Linked DNA regions of Oryzias latipes. The protein of the gene in region 3 purifies or fractionates together with the protein of the main gene of each other region. This does not show direct contact. Links are inferred from orthologs where the notes say so. Each region holds a gene or a part of one and is shown on either strand. Other genes may lie near its edges.

Region 1 (4,083 bases), on a different chromosome or scaffold from region 3:
GATTGGGGAATAGTAAAAATGTAGCCTTAGATATGAATAAAATGTATGTGTTTTGGGCCAGTTTTCTACATAAAAAGCCAATCAATAGTACACATCTCTTGAAATTGTTCTTTAAATACACTTTTTTTTTTTTTACAAAAAAATAAAAATAAACTGTATATGAAAAAACACAGGTCTGTATTTTAATTACCAACATTAAAAAAGTCAACGTGTTCACATCTGTATTATTAGTGTTTTTTGCTCAGGCACCACTAACCTTGGCACGGACGTTTTCAAATGAGGCCGGACTCACAAGAGAGAAGCAGATGAGGAACACATCCTGTAAGACAAAGACAAAAAAGGTTCAGAGTCCATGAAATTCATTTCCTGTTGAGCAAAAAATAAATAAAAATAAATAACCTATCGCTAAGGTGGTCTGTTTAACTTTCTTTAAAACCCTCTTCTACATTTGAATACCACAAATGCTCCCAATTAATTATTTATAAAAGTTATCAACTAAATAACACCTTGTCTGACTATTTTTGTCATTGTACCGTCTGTGGGTAAGAAAGTGGGCGGAGTCTGTCGTAGTCTTCTTGTCCAGCTGTATCCCAAAGGCCCAGGTTCACCGGCTTCCCATCCACCATAACATTGGCAGAGTAGTTATCAAACCTGTGAGAATCAAGCATTCATAAAAACTCAGTTATGTCATTCAAGCCTTGCTACATATTTCTGAATTTCTATGATCATTAGATAAATCAAACAGGTTTTTTGGGGGTCAAAAATCAAAGCCTTGTTCATCAGCAGTACATGTTTTCAGCTTGTTCTTGAATCAGAATAAAAGCAGAATGTACATTTATAAATAATCAGAATGAACCAAAGTGTTTTGAGTGACAAATTCCCAAAAAGCCACAGATCCCACAACTAAGAAAATAAACTAGCTGGTTGCACTTCTGGTAATTTTACATAACAAATGCTTCTCTGAACCCAAACAGCTGCCTGTTAAAAAAGAAAGTGACTTCTTATGTACAAGGAAACTAATATTCCCCCATAAGACCAGTTGAAGAAATGAAACAAAGACACAGTTAAGCAACAACTGTCCAGAAGAAGAATGACAGACAGCTTAGCCATTATGAATAAATAAACACTCACACTGTGGGGATGTACTCTCCTGGAAAGGCATTGGTGGTGTAGCTGATGAGTAGACATGTCTTACCCACAGCACTGAATAAGAGAAATGTTATGTTCAGAATTCAGGAAAATAAAACATATACAAGCTGTCATTAAAGTCAGGCTTAAGTTGTTCGATTATTTTACATTTACAAAGCTAAAAACAGTCCAAGCATTTTATTTAATAACATCAAAGTTACTTGAAATAATTACAACCATTAAAAATATAGTTTCAAGTTAAATGTGGACACTACGCAAAGTTTGGTTTTTAACAAACTGAAAGGAGGAAGTCTGAGAGTCACATTATCATCCGTAGGATAAAAGCAGGATCAAAATAATCCAATATCAAAAATCAATAATTGCCAGTTAATCATTTATTATCATCTCGTAGGTAATGTCAGTTTTATTGAAGCACTCCTGATAGAATGAGTGCACTGATTTCAGGAAATAAGGTTTTTTTTTCTCTTCCAGGCTAGTTGATGAGTAAGCAGATATTTTAAACTTTTGAAACTTTAAAGAGAACTGGTGCCTTAGAGTTTCTTCAAGTCGGAACGGAAAACAAAACAAAAGTCGGAGAGGTCGAGGGACGACTCCGCTGCGGTGGGACCAGCCGCACCCTCGACAAGACGTTACAAGTGTGTTTACCTCTAGCATATTACACATCAGTCAGACTTTCAATATTAGCTCATTGACAATCCTGTCTTTAAAATATTGCAAACTAAACCTACTAATTTAACTATTGTGTAACACAAAAACACGCCCGTGTCAATACAACAGAAGAAGAAACAAATTTCAACTCTTCGAAAAAGTACATATAATTTTTGCCCATTTTGTTCAAAAATAACTTCAAAACAAATCTAAGATCAATCTAACTCTATTCACTGATTTTGGCGTAAATAAATAAAAAAATCTGGAACATTGGATCCAGAACGGTAATATCAGGGGAAAAACAAATGCAATACAAAATGTTGTACATTTCGAAAAAAAAAGAAAAGAACTTGAAAGTCCAATATTTAACCGATAACTTGGCTAACTTTACAACTCCAAAAATAAGACGCAACATTTATGTCGAATGACAACTTTTCGACATCACTGGCGGTTTCAGGGTTTGATACCAAAACTGTCGATTAAATGTTAAATATCACAGTGAGTTTAGTTAGGTTCAACTTACCCGTCTCCAACAACGACACACTTTATGGCCTGCATTGCGCCGCAGCTACAGGAATGCTAAGTTAGCCCAGAGCCAGTTAACGTTAGCTCGGATAGCTTGTCCTTTGTCCGCAACTCCTCTCAAGTGAAACTACCCAACAGTCTTTGCTAACAGTCGACCGCGCTAACTCAAAACTTTCTAAACGGAGAACGGCTTGTTAGAAAATAAAGTTGCGGCGACTCAATTCGGACTTTAGGTCAACTAAACTCAGAAATTCCCTGGCAACATTCCCATGCTTTCGTGAGCTGCTCTATGAGTTATGGAGCAAAACAGCGGCCACCACCCCTATAGCTAAAGAGAAAAAAAAATGAAGCCAGCTCTACAAGATAGGGCATCCGGCGCACGCCCACAGACACCTTAACCAAAGAAAAGATAGCCTCAAACTAGTAGTAAAAAAAAGGGTCAGCTACTCTGGTCTTAAATATAAAGCTTAAAGTTATATATAAATAACATTTGAAAACTAAAATATTACATTTTGGTTTAATGAAAACAAAATAAAAGAAATCGTCGAAGACGGAATATTTACGGTGTGACACCTAGGGTGGAACTGACGTCAGTTTTGACGCGTCTACGGTTCATTTACGATTACAATGGAATTTTTGGTGTGTTGTTTAATTTCCCTGAATTATGCCTTTCAGGCTGAAAAAGTTTTTTTGGAGATGGAAGGATAGCTTGCTCTCCCACCCCTACACCACGATAAATTCAATTATACCATACCAGCAAACATGCACTGTATTAAAAAATAAAGTAGTAAAAGAAAAAAAAAGTCAATGTGTGCCTATTCTAATACGACAAAGATATTTAGCTTCAAAAATGTAACACAATCAATGATTAGTTGGTCATTGTATTTCCAAAAAGTCTGTAGTACTTTGCTTCAGTTCAAGATTTTTTGTGTAGTGAACTTCTGGAAAACAAACCAATTTACCTGGTTTTGTAATGGTGCAAAAACAACATATATACATATTTAGTAACTCAAAAAACCTCTTCTATGTTTCTGTTTGTTTAGTTTTATGAGAACCATAGTAGTTGTGTCTAGGACGTGTTTTTTTTTTCCTTAGCCACCACCCAGATCTGGAAGTCCTTTCAGTCTTTACTCGGGGTTTTATTTAATCCTGGTTTTACTGCACTTCCGTGTGTCGCAGCGATGTCTGTCCTCGGTAGAAAACTAACAGGGTGGAGTAGATGCCAGTACAACGGCAGCAAAAGACGGAGCTCGTTGAGGGTGAAAGATAGAAGAATGGAGCTTCATCCAACACTTGCAGCCATTGTAGCGTCCCCTTGCCTGTTGCCTTTGTAAGCCAAGAACACAGCGCTCAGGGTTGGGCTTTTATGGCGAGTCTTTCGTATCTGGTGCTCCGGTTTTCGGGCTCCGCTGGTCGGACTTACGGACTATTCTCCAAAGGCTTGACGAGGACTTTGTTGATATTTTTTGATCTCGCATGGCGGCTGAGAATACGATTCCCCTACTTTTACTTGGTAGCCTCAATGGTGTTTAACGTCAGATTACAGGTAAATGTTTACACACTATTTTCAGACTGACGGTCACGGTGAGCTTGTCACCATGCCAACAACAGCTGTTGGGGGGCCTCGATAGGGAACCTTTGTTCTTATAGTCAGTTAATCCCAGGTTAAATTGATATATAATCTCTACTACGTGCTGTCCCATAAAACTGGGTTCATGAAAATCATCTGTTAATCGGAAAAATAATTTACTGACATTTGAT
Region 2 (4,080 bases), on a different chromosome or scaffold from region 3:
AGCCTTTGGTCAAACGGTGCAGGAAATCATTCCAGGAAGAAGAAGTGAAGGAGTGACATTAATGGTGGTTAATGATTTCACACATCCTACTCTTTCACACTCACACACACACACACTCAGACTTACTGAGGCTGATTGTTTTTCTTTGCGTTGCCATAGAAAAGTTAAACATTTCAGTCTGTTGCACGAGTGAACTAAACTATGACTCATGCCGCCCCCTCCCAGTTATCTGGAGCATATGCTCGCACAGCGAGGCTCCTCCCACCGTCTGAAACGCACGTGTTCTCTCTGACAGACATCAGGGATGACCTCAGGATCCCGCCGTGGTCTACAACCTGGAGGAGCCTCATTTACTTTCAAAATAATGGTCCTTCCTGGCAGCAGGGGATGCTTAGGAGTTTGTATTACTTGTTCATGATGTAAGTTGGGGGAGGGACTGACTTTCTCTCAGCTGCATGATCAGCCTGATCAGTCTGACGGGGGCATCCTGAGTTCATCGGCCAAAGTAAGCTCAGGAATCCAAGCAGACAGGTAATTTACCTCTCAGCTGTGACCCACAACTGTGTCATGACGGTGAACGCACATCATCGGCCTGATCACATGAGCTCGCTTGGTTAAGAAAACCAACGTTCTCTCTTGTTTCTACACATTTATTTTAGTCAAAATCCTCCAAACTAAAAGTTTTCCGTTCCATATTGAGATGAAGATTATTCAGTGATGTTTCTGGGCAAGTTTAATAAAATCCTCACAATACAGACATACTCTCCTGTAAGCTCCTCCCACTACAAACAAGCCACTCCCTCTAGCCCCGTCCAGTGGCATTGGTTTATTCTGCACTGTCAGAATGTTTGAGCCCTCCTGATGGTGACATAAAGATGTGACCCGCCCTACCTGCCCACCTAACCATGAGCCGCATTTAAAGGGGGGTGTCGGGTTTCCACCTCCCCGAGGAGGAGGAGGAGGAGGAGGAGGAGGAGGAGGAGGAGGAGGAGGGAAAACACCAAATTCCCTTCTGTAGAGACAAGCAGATTTGGTCCAACCATATTTACAGGCTTACTTCTTCCGTTAGAGAGAATGTAGTTTGAGTCCAGACTGACTGTTCTGACCAACCAGTGCCTGACTGAGAGGGGGGGTTACTGAGTCTGCCCCCCCCCCCTGAAAAAGCAGTCAAACTGAAGCTGTATCTATGCTATGACCAGTGCAGCTCAAGCAAAGGGGAAAAAAAGACTCAATTCCATCTGTTTGGACCAGAAAGGACAAAACTGTTGCTCGTAGGAGGCTGGCTCTCCTGCAGAGGGAGGGACCGGGTGTTCAGAGGGCATGGAGCTTTATTCACCACACAAACACACACACACACACACACACTTACACACACACAGAGAGGCTCGGCAAAACTGCTCCCAGGCCCAGAGAAACAGAGGGGAGCAGAGGAGGACGACACGCTTGCTGGGTAAGTTGTTGGCTCTCAGAGAAAGGGGATTCTGACGGCGTTCCTGAGTCTTTCCAGTGGTGTGTGTGCGTCTTCTCATGTTGACTCTCTGCTGATGTGAAGCTCAGGGCAGACTCACAGACAAACACTGAAGAGGCCAGAAAAGAGAAGAGGGCATCAGAATGTAAAAAGAGGAATGCTGGGGCAGTTTTTGGAAAATTCCAACACGTTAAGCTGAGCTACAAGTTCGTGTGCTATCTGATTTCAGAGGCTCTCAGCCTCTCACTTCATGCCTTTGTGCTTCCTTGTTCTCATCCGCTGACTATTCCAGACCGTCAGACTTGCTGAGGAACCACGGGGGGGCAGATGCCGTCACCAACCAAACCCCTGACAGCGAGGAGGTTTCCAACAAAAGACGCACCGACCGACCGCAGTGGAGATACAAACAGTCTAGGATGAGCCTCCGGATGTCCAGGAGGAGGTCCACAGGTGACCTGGTGCCAAAGGACATCACTGAGATCTTAGCCAGAGAAGCAAAGGCTCAGCGTGGACAGAAGACGCAAGCACGGTCTCTGGGTCAGGCCTTCAACTGGCTGAGGAGAAGTAAGAGGAAGAAGAAGAGCACCGGACCTAACCGGGCTTTCAACGACGTGACAGAAAACACCGCTGAACTTCAGAACCACGACGAAGGTCAGAGAAACTCTTCTGGCTCATTTTGGGGTCTTTAAATGATCATTTCAAGATATTTTTTTAATGTAATGGAAGTTTATTCTAAGCTCCAGAGAAACCTGTCTTATGTACTCTCAGACAATATTATGAAGTATTCTTACCTATTTTTAGAAGGTTTCTGGATGTTTCTGAGTGTCAGACAGAGCGCTGTTTGCTCTGTGGGGGGGGGGGGGGGCACCTGTGGTTCGTCCCACAGGTGTCTGCTCAGGTTGAGGTCAAGAGTCAGTCAGGTTCTTCCGTTCTAAACTCATTCACCTTTATGGACCTGGATGTTCAGCAGGAGAACAATGAGGAGAGCCCCCATGTTTTCTCATGTTTGCTGGTTTGCTGGAGGATTGAGAGCTTCTAAAGCAGTCCCATACCATTACACCACCTCCACAAGCCCACCCTGCTGGCTCAGTGGGGTTAGCAAGCACCAACCGCTGTTCACTCGCCAAATGTAAACATCGGAGAAACGTGATTATTTCCACCCCAATGCTCCTCGGTCTGGTGGTTCTCCATCATGAGCAGAAATGAGGTTCCCAGCACACAGTTCTGTTTACACCAGTGTAAACCAGTTTGGACCCTTCCTGATCAGTGGAGTGGTTCTCCTTTGAGCTGTTGGCTTTAGTGGTGACTGGTTCCATTTAAACTCGTCTGCATCTTCTCTTCTCACACCCACTCCGGCTAACTGTTTCCTTCAACCACATTTGTAAATCTCCTCTTTGCCTTCATCTTCATCACTTCCGTGTTCAGCATCCTCCTCCTCTCTGCCCGTCTTCCTTCGTTGCTCCCTGTAGAATGCTGGAGACTTTTCAGCGCCACGTATATGAACATAAATGTTGTGATCCTCAAACACTTTCAAGATGACAGGAACAACAGAAAGCCTAAACCAGTGATGATTGGCTGCTTCAAAATCCCTCATCTCAGCAGACGTTAGTCTCCCACACAGTTTTCTCCCTCGGCAGGATGAGCTTCTCACCAAAATGTTTCAAAGGAGCCTCCCTTTGCTAACTTCTGACAGTTCTCCCAGAGCGATAAGCTGCAGAAGAATCTGCTTTTCTCCTGGATTCAGACGGAAAGTCACAACAGAATTACAGCTCAGGACATCTATGACTCTGTGAAAATCCCACACAGAGGATTTGAATTCCTTCTTTTTTATTTACTGATGCATTCAACCCCCCCCCCCCCCCCCCCCCCCCCCCCCCCCCCCCCCCCCCCCCCCCCCCCCCCCCCCACCGTCCATCCATCCACACTTCCTGTTTTTGCTCCGTCTGTGACCCGGCTCTTCATTCTTTTCTCTTCACCCCTCGCCGTGTGCATGTGTGTGTGCATGTGTGTGCATGTGTGTTTGTCCATGTGTGTGTGCGCATGTGTGTGTGCATGAGGCAGGGTGGTGAGGGAGGTGGCCACTGCCTGGATGGACAATAATGTTTGTTCGTATTTAGCTAAATATTCCATGAAGCATGGATTCTGTAAGGAGGAGCAGCGCTCCGACAGAGGATGTGGTTGAAAGCGGATCTTCCGTTCTGCAGGAATGCTGCATTTTTTGGCATCTATGTTGTGAGTTTACTGTTTTGAATTCAAGCAGACCTCGGTGAAGCAGAATCACACAAACCTCTGTCTGGTCCAGAAGAGTCAGACAGAAAAGTGTTTTTATGCCTAATGATCATTTTAACTCCTCTTTAAGTTCTTGAAAGTGACACACATTTTTAAATGTTATTGGTGTCAGTAGATTGACTTTGTGGATTAAGATTAGATTGAGATTACGTTTTCGTTTTTCTTTTCTTTTCTTTTTTTAGTTTAGTTTAGTTTAGTTTAGTTTAGTTTAGTTTAGTTTAGTTTAGTTTAGTTTAGTTTATTCGTGTTTTTAATTCCAAAACAAATACAACTTGAACCAGGGTGGGCTGCATGGTGGTGTAGTGGTTAACACTCTCACCTCA
Region 3 (4,363 bases):
GTCAGAATCGCTACCGTACGAAGCGAGGGAAGATATGGCGGCAGACATTTTGAATGTTGTGAATTTACCGGAAATCCGAGGGCGGGACTACCGGTTACAAAATTATTCAACTTTCATTTAAAAAAATGTAAAAACTCGTTATATCAAAAATTAGGACAATTTTAAAGTTATGAGTGTTTACCAATTATAATGCGGGTACCATGCTTGTAAGACTAATATATTTTATTTATTTATCTATTTATAACATGCATAATGTGACGTAGCACATAAACATGTTTATAGACATGCTATTTTTTTAATTAAAAAATATTAAGCAATGGGTCTTACAGCTGACCAAAATGTATTTTTTCCACAACAGTGAGATCATGAAAAACTAACAAAATGTACTGTTTTCCTTTCTCATTGCAACTTTAAGCTTTTTTTCCCCAATGCACTAAACACAATTTTTAGCCATGTGTTCTGATCAATTTCATTGACTATTTTGTTCTTCTTTTTTGTGTGTGTTTTAGGAGTTTTTTTTCTCCTCAAAAGAACCATTAACTTAACAAATGACAATTGCTTTTTTTTTTAAACTAAACTTTAGGCCTTCAACAAGAAACTGAAACAGGGCATTAGTTACACTCCAGCGTTTATGACTCAAGTGTTGCTAAAGGTAACTGTAGGAAATAGCTCACAGGCGTCCGTAGTTAATCTTTCTGAGATTAAAGTCAGAATTCTGAGAAGAAAAAAAGTCAGGATTCTGAGAAAAAAGTCAAAATTCTGAGATTAAAGTCGAGATTTTCTTTGCCCTTTTTCTCTCTCTCTGTCTGTCCATGGTCCCAAGCCTCTTCTGTACAAGTTAAATAGGATCAGAATAGATCCAAGGGTTCTGGTTCTTACAGCGCCTACAAAACACTGCAGTCAGCAGCAAGCCTGCAAAAATAAAAGCACGCCATGAATCCATTGAAATGTGTAATTTGCATAATTAAGAATGACACATTTATACTTGAGCAATATTGCCTATCTGTTGTATTATAACACAGTTTGCAACTACTACTTTTTTTTGGCATGTATGAGTCTGTAACACAGAGTTATGCAACAATTTCCCTAAAAAAGTGAAGAAAATACAACATAAAGTCAGAAAACATTGGCATATGATAAGAATATATTATAATAATGTTTTCAACCAATTCTAAAGAAATGTGGATAATGTATATTCTGTGTAATCACTGCTAAGTGGAATGTAACTAAATAGTCCCCATTTGTTTTATTAAGCATATAGTTTTTAATTTATACTTTTATGAACAAAACACATTCTAAGAATTTATTTCAAATATGCACAACATTATAACTATTTTTAAAATCTATATTTTATTTTTTAGGTTTCTGTTTTTAACAACTTTTCTGGCGCACTCCCAGTTACAGACGGTTTCTCACTCCTCAACAATGGAGTGGCTCATACCATTACAAGACCGAAACGGGGGCGTTTTCTCCTCAATGAATGCCACATCACGGTCGTAACCTCGAATAAACAACAAAAACTAAAAGTTTTTAAATTAAGGTAATGTTTTGATGTTATAAAACCTGACGCTGTTTTAGATTAGCACGATTTCCCTGTAGTTGCGCCGAATTCCAGCCGGAAAATCCCTTAAAAAATGCAGCTGGATCCTTCTTCGCCGCCGCCTCTTCCAGCAGGAGAGCATTGGATATGAGAGACGGCACAACCATGGATGTAACACGGGGATTTAAATTCTTGGACACGGCGGCACGCTTTGCTTCTTGGTGAAGATGGGAAGAAAATCAGCGGGATTTTAAGGATCATTTTGAGGTAGCATCGTGGCTTTATTGTGACTTCATTTTTTTTCTTTCTTTTTTTTAACTGACAAACGGACTTAAAATGTATTTAATTCCAGCAAGTTAGAAGCAGAGTCAGTCACCATGTTGTAGAGCGTAAACCGGGGCTGTCTTCTTGGCAATAACGGTAATTCAACACTGCCTGGCCATCACTGACTCACGTCAACTCAGCACACAGGTGACTGTAATGCAGAGTGGTCAGATGTGGATTATTCTTAAAAAGTACACGCGTGATCATGCGTATTTACCAGTAAAAGGGCACTTTTTTGATGGGATAACTCCACATCTGCAAGGGCTCCTGCTGCAGAGTCTGAGGATATCATTCGAGGGGGGGGGGGGGGGGGGGGAAGCAAATATTTGCAAAGCCCCATAAATGATCCTTTATTCCCCCCATCTGTGGTGTGTTCACGGGGAAAGGGATATCAGAGTTTCAGTTTAGTACAGTGTGGTAATGACCCCCCCCCCCCCCCCCCCTCCTAGAGCGCACTGACTTGGGGGCTGGGGACTGTTCCAGTCCAGGCAGCTCGGTTTGTACACTGTCGTGGGGGGGCGGGGGATGGTAGATTGTGGTGAAAATTATGGTTTGTGAAATTTGAAACCTTGGTGCAACACCAATGGCCGAGGAACAATGTTTTTACACAGCTTTACACGACAGTTTGAAGATCTCTGCATTGTATTATGTCATATGTGGCATTTCTTATGGATCCCATTCATAGATTTTTTTTCTTAAATGTGTATTGCATGCAAATTTCGGGATGTGAGTCCTTTTTAAACACCTGTGTGATGTGCAGTATATTATTAAAGGTTGTCCGTGTTGTTTTAAATGTATGACTGATGTAGAATGAATCATCTCTTGAGGCATTGGCTGCAGAGCTCGTAATGTTCCCACACTGCTGGTCCTTGTGCTTACGCCGCTGGATTTTTGAGTGTTGGAAGCAGAGACCAGTGATGATTAGCCAATCGTCCTCCTGATATTTAAAAATTCATCTCTTTCTCTCATCTAAATCATTTAACAGCTTAGTTTAGATCACTTTTCCAATAGAATAAATCCTTAAAATGCAGCGAATTCCCCAGAATTGGATGAATAAACCTACTGCACTTGCATTTAATCAAATAATGTCAGTTTAAGTGATGCATTATTCAAGAACTACAGTGGCTACTGAATGTGAAAGTGCCTCGGACTACTACTGGATAACCTAGATCTCTTATTTCCATAGAGGAATCATGCATGTGCGCAGAACGGACTGCCGGGTTTTGAAATTGTTGCAGATGTTTGCAGTAGACGTGATTGTTCCCTCTCAGCTCTCTGTGGATTTACTCATAGATGTTGTAGTGTGGATTTGCTGCGCTGTGACATCAACTCTTTGATGCATAATCAATACAGTACACGCACAGCCTCATGCACCCAACTGCCCCATTTGCAGGTACCGTCAAGGTTTCATGAAAAATGTCTATATATCCATATTTTCTTGTTGTGTACAGCATGTGGGGTGTAGATGCAAGCAGAGTGTGGCATACAGTATTTTCGAAGTATAAGTCACAATCTATTGCTAAGTTTGGCCAGGGGTGAAACTCATACTCAGGAGCGACTAATATGCAATTTTTAAAATATAAATATAGGCTCATATATTTGTTGTTTTTCCACAAACAACCGATTGTGTGTATGATACACACACTATAGGATAACATTGAGAGATACACACACTATAGGTGTGTAACAGTATTTGCTACTGACAGCAACAGCGAAGAATAAACACAGTCCAAAACAGAAATGGAGGAGAATCTGATTGTTCTCTTCCTGACCTTTATGATATATTATTTAATGGCATGAAGACATTAGTGGAAATTTTTTTGCGGGACTGCAAGCAAGTCATCAGACTGGGTTACAGAGACATGGAAGTATTGCTGAAAGTGCCATAATTCTGGTTCCTGCGGTAGAACGTAAAGATCGGCGTAGAAAAAAACCCGAAACAGAATGATCCCATGAAGACCTGACCTCTCAATATTATCTGTGTCTTTTGTGGATTCTAAAGTTAAACTATCTGTCACACCTAGGTTCTCCGCATTTGACCCATCCTCAGGGGGAGCAATGAGCTGCAGACTCGGGAAGGTGGCTTAACCCCCCAATCCAACCCCTTAATGTGTCCCTTAATGGGTTCCATTTTTAAAGTCTTTGGTATGACTCGGCTTGGGTTTGAACCTTCCAGTTACAGGGCGGACACTCTAACCACAAGGCCACTGAACTGGTTATAACCCAGATATACTGTACAATCAATGCTTCCATGTAGCGATGAGGCTAAAAACTTGACTGTAGCGTCTCCATCACATTTGATGTATGAAATGCATTTGACCGGGCTTGTTAGATTTGTTCAAAAGTGTATAGATTTTCTCCAAAATGTACGACTTGTGTTTTTTTTAATGCTTTTTTTTTCTTGCTGCTGGGATTTATACTCTGGGACGACCTATACTCCTGAAAATACGGCATATCCACTTTTAGTTTTTGCTCCTGCATATTTGACACTGCTCATAG

What was found.
Region 1: the proteins of wasf1 (region 3) and ras-related C3 botulinum toxin substrate 1 purify together in Homo sapiens (affinity purification with western blotting; 3 studies listed by BioGRID and IntAct, with this or other methods). This does not show direct contact. The link is inferred for Oryzias latipes from reciprocal best matches to the Homo sapiens genes WASF1 and RAC1.
Region 2: the proteins of wasf1 (region 3) and uncharacterized protein KIAA1522 homolog purify together in Homo sapiens (affinity purification with mass spectrometry; 3 studies listed by BioGRID and IntAct, with this or other methods). This does not show direct contact. The link is inferred for Oryzias latipes from reciprocal best matches to the Homo sapiens genes WASF1 and NHSL3.

The regions. Positions count from the first base shown.
Region 1 is NC_019866.2:11,732,735-11,736,817, forward strand, and holds the start of ras-related C3 botulinum toxin substrate 1, read right to left. Parts: upstream 2,904-4,083; 5' UTR 2,356-2,903; coding exon 2,321-2,355; intron 1,204-2,320; coding exon 1,132-1,203; intron 652-1,131; coding exon 534-651; intron 320-533; coding exon 257-319; intron 1-256. UniProt on the Homo sapiens protein: Plasma membrane-associated small GTPase which cycles between active GTP-bound and inactive GDP-bound states.
Region 2 is NC_019869.2:25,726,105-25,730,184, forward strand, and holds the start of uncharacterized protein KIAA1522 homolog, read left to right. Parts: upstream 1-1,275; 5' UTR 1,276-1,450; intron 1,451-1,760; 5' UTR 1,761-1,884; coding exon 1,885-2,119; intron 2,120-4,080. UniProt on the Homo sapiens protein: Able to directly activate the TNF-NFkappaB signaling pathway.
Region 3 is NC_019882.2:8,074,584-8,078,946, reverse strand, and holds the start of wasf1 (wiskott-Aldrich syndrome protein family member 1), read left to right. Parts: upstream 1-1,502; 5' UTR 1,503-1,807; intron 1,808-4,363. Other genes in the region: cdc40 (pre-mRNA-processing factor 17), read right to left, coding at 1-48.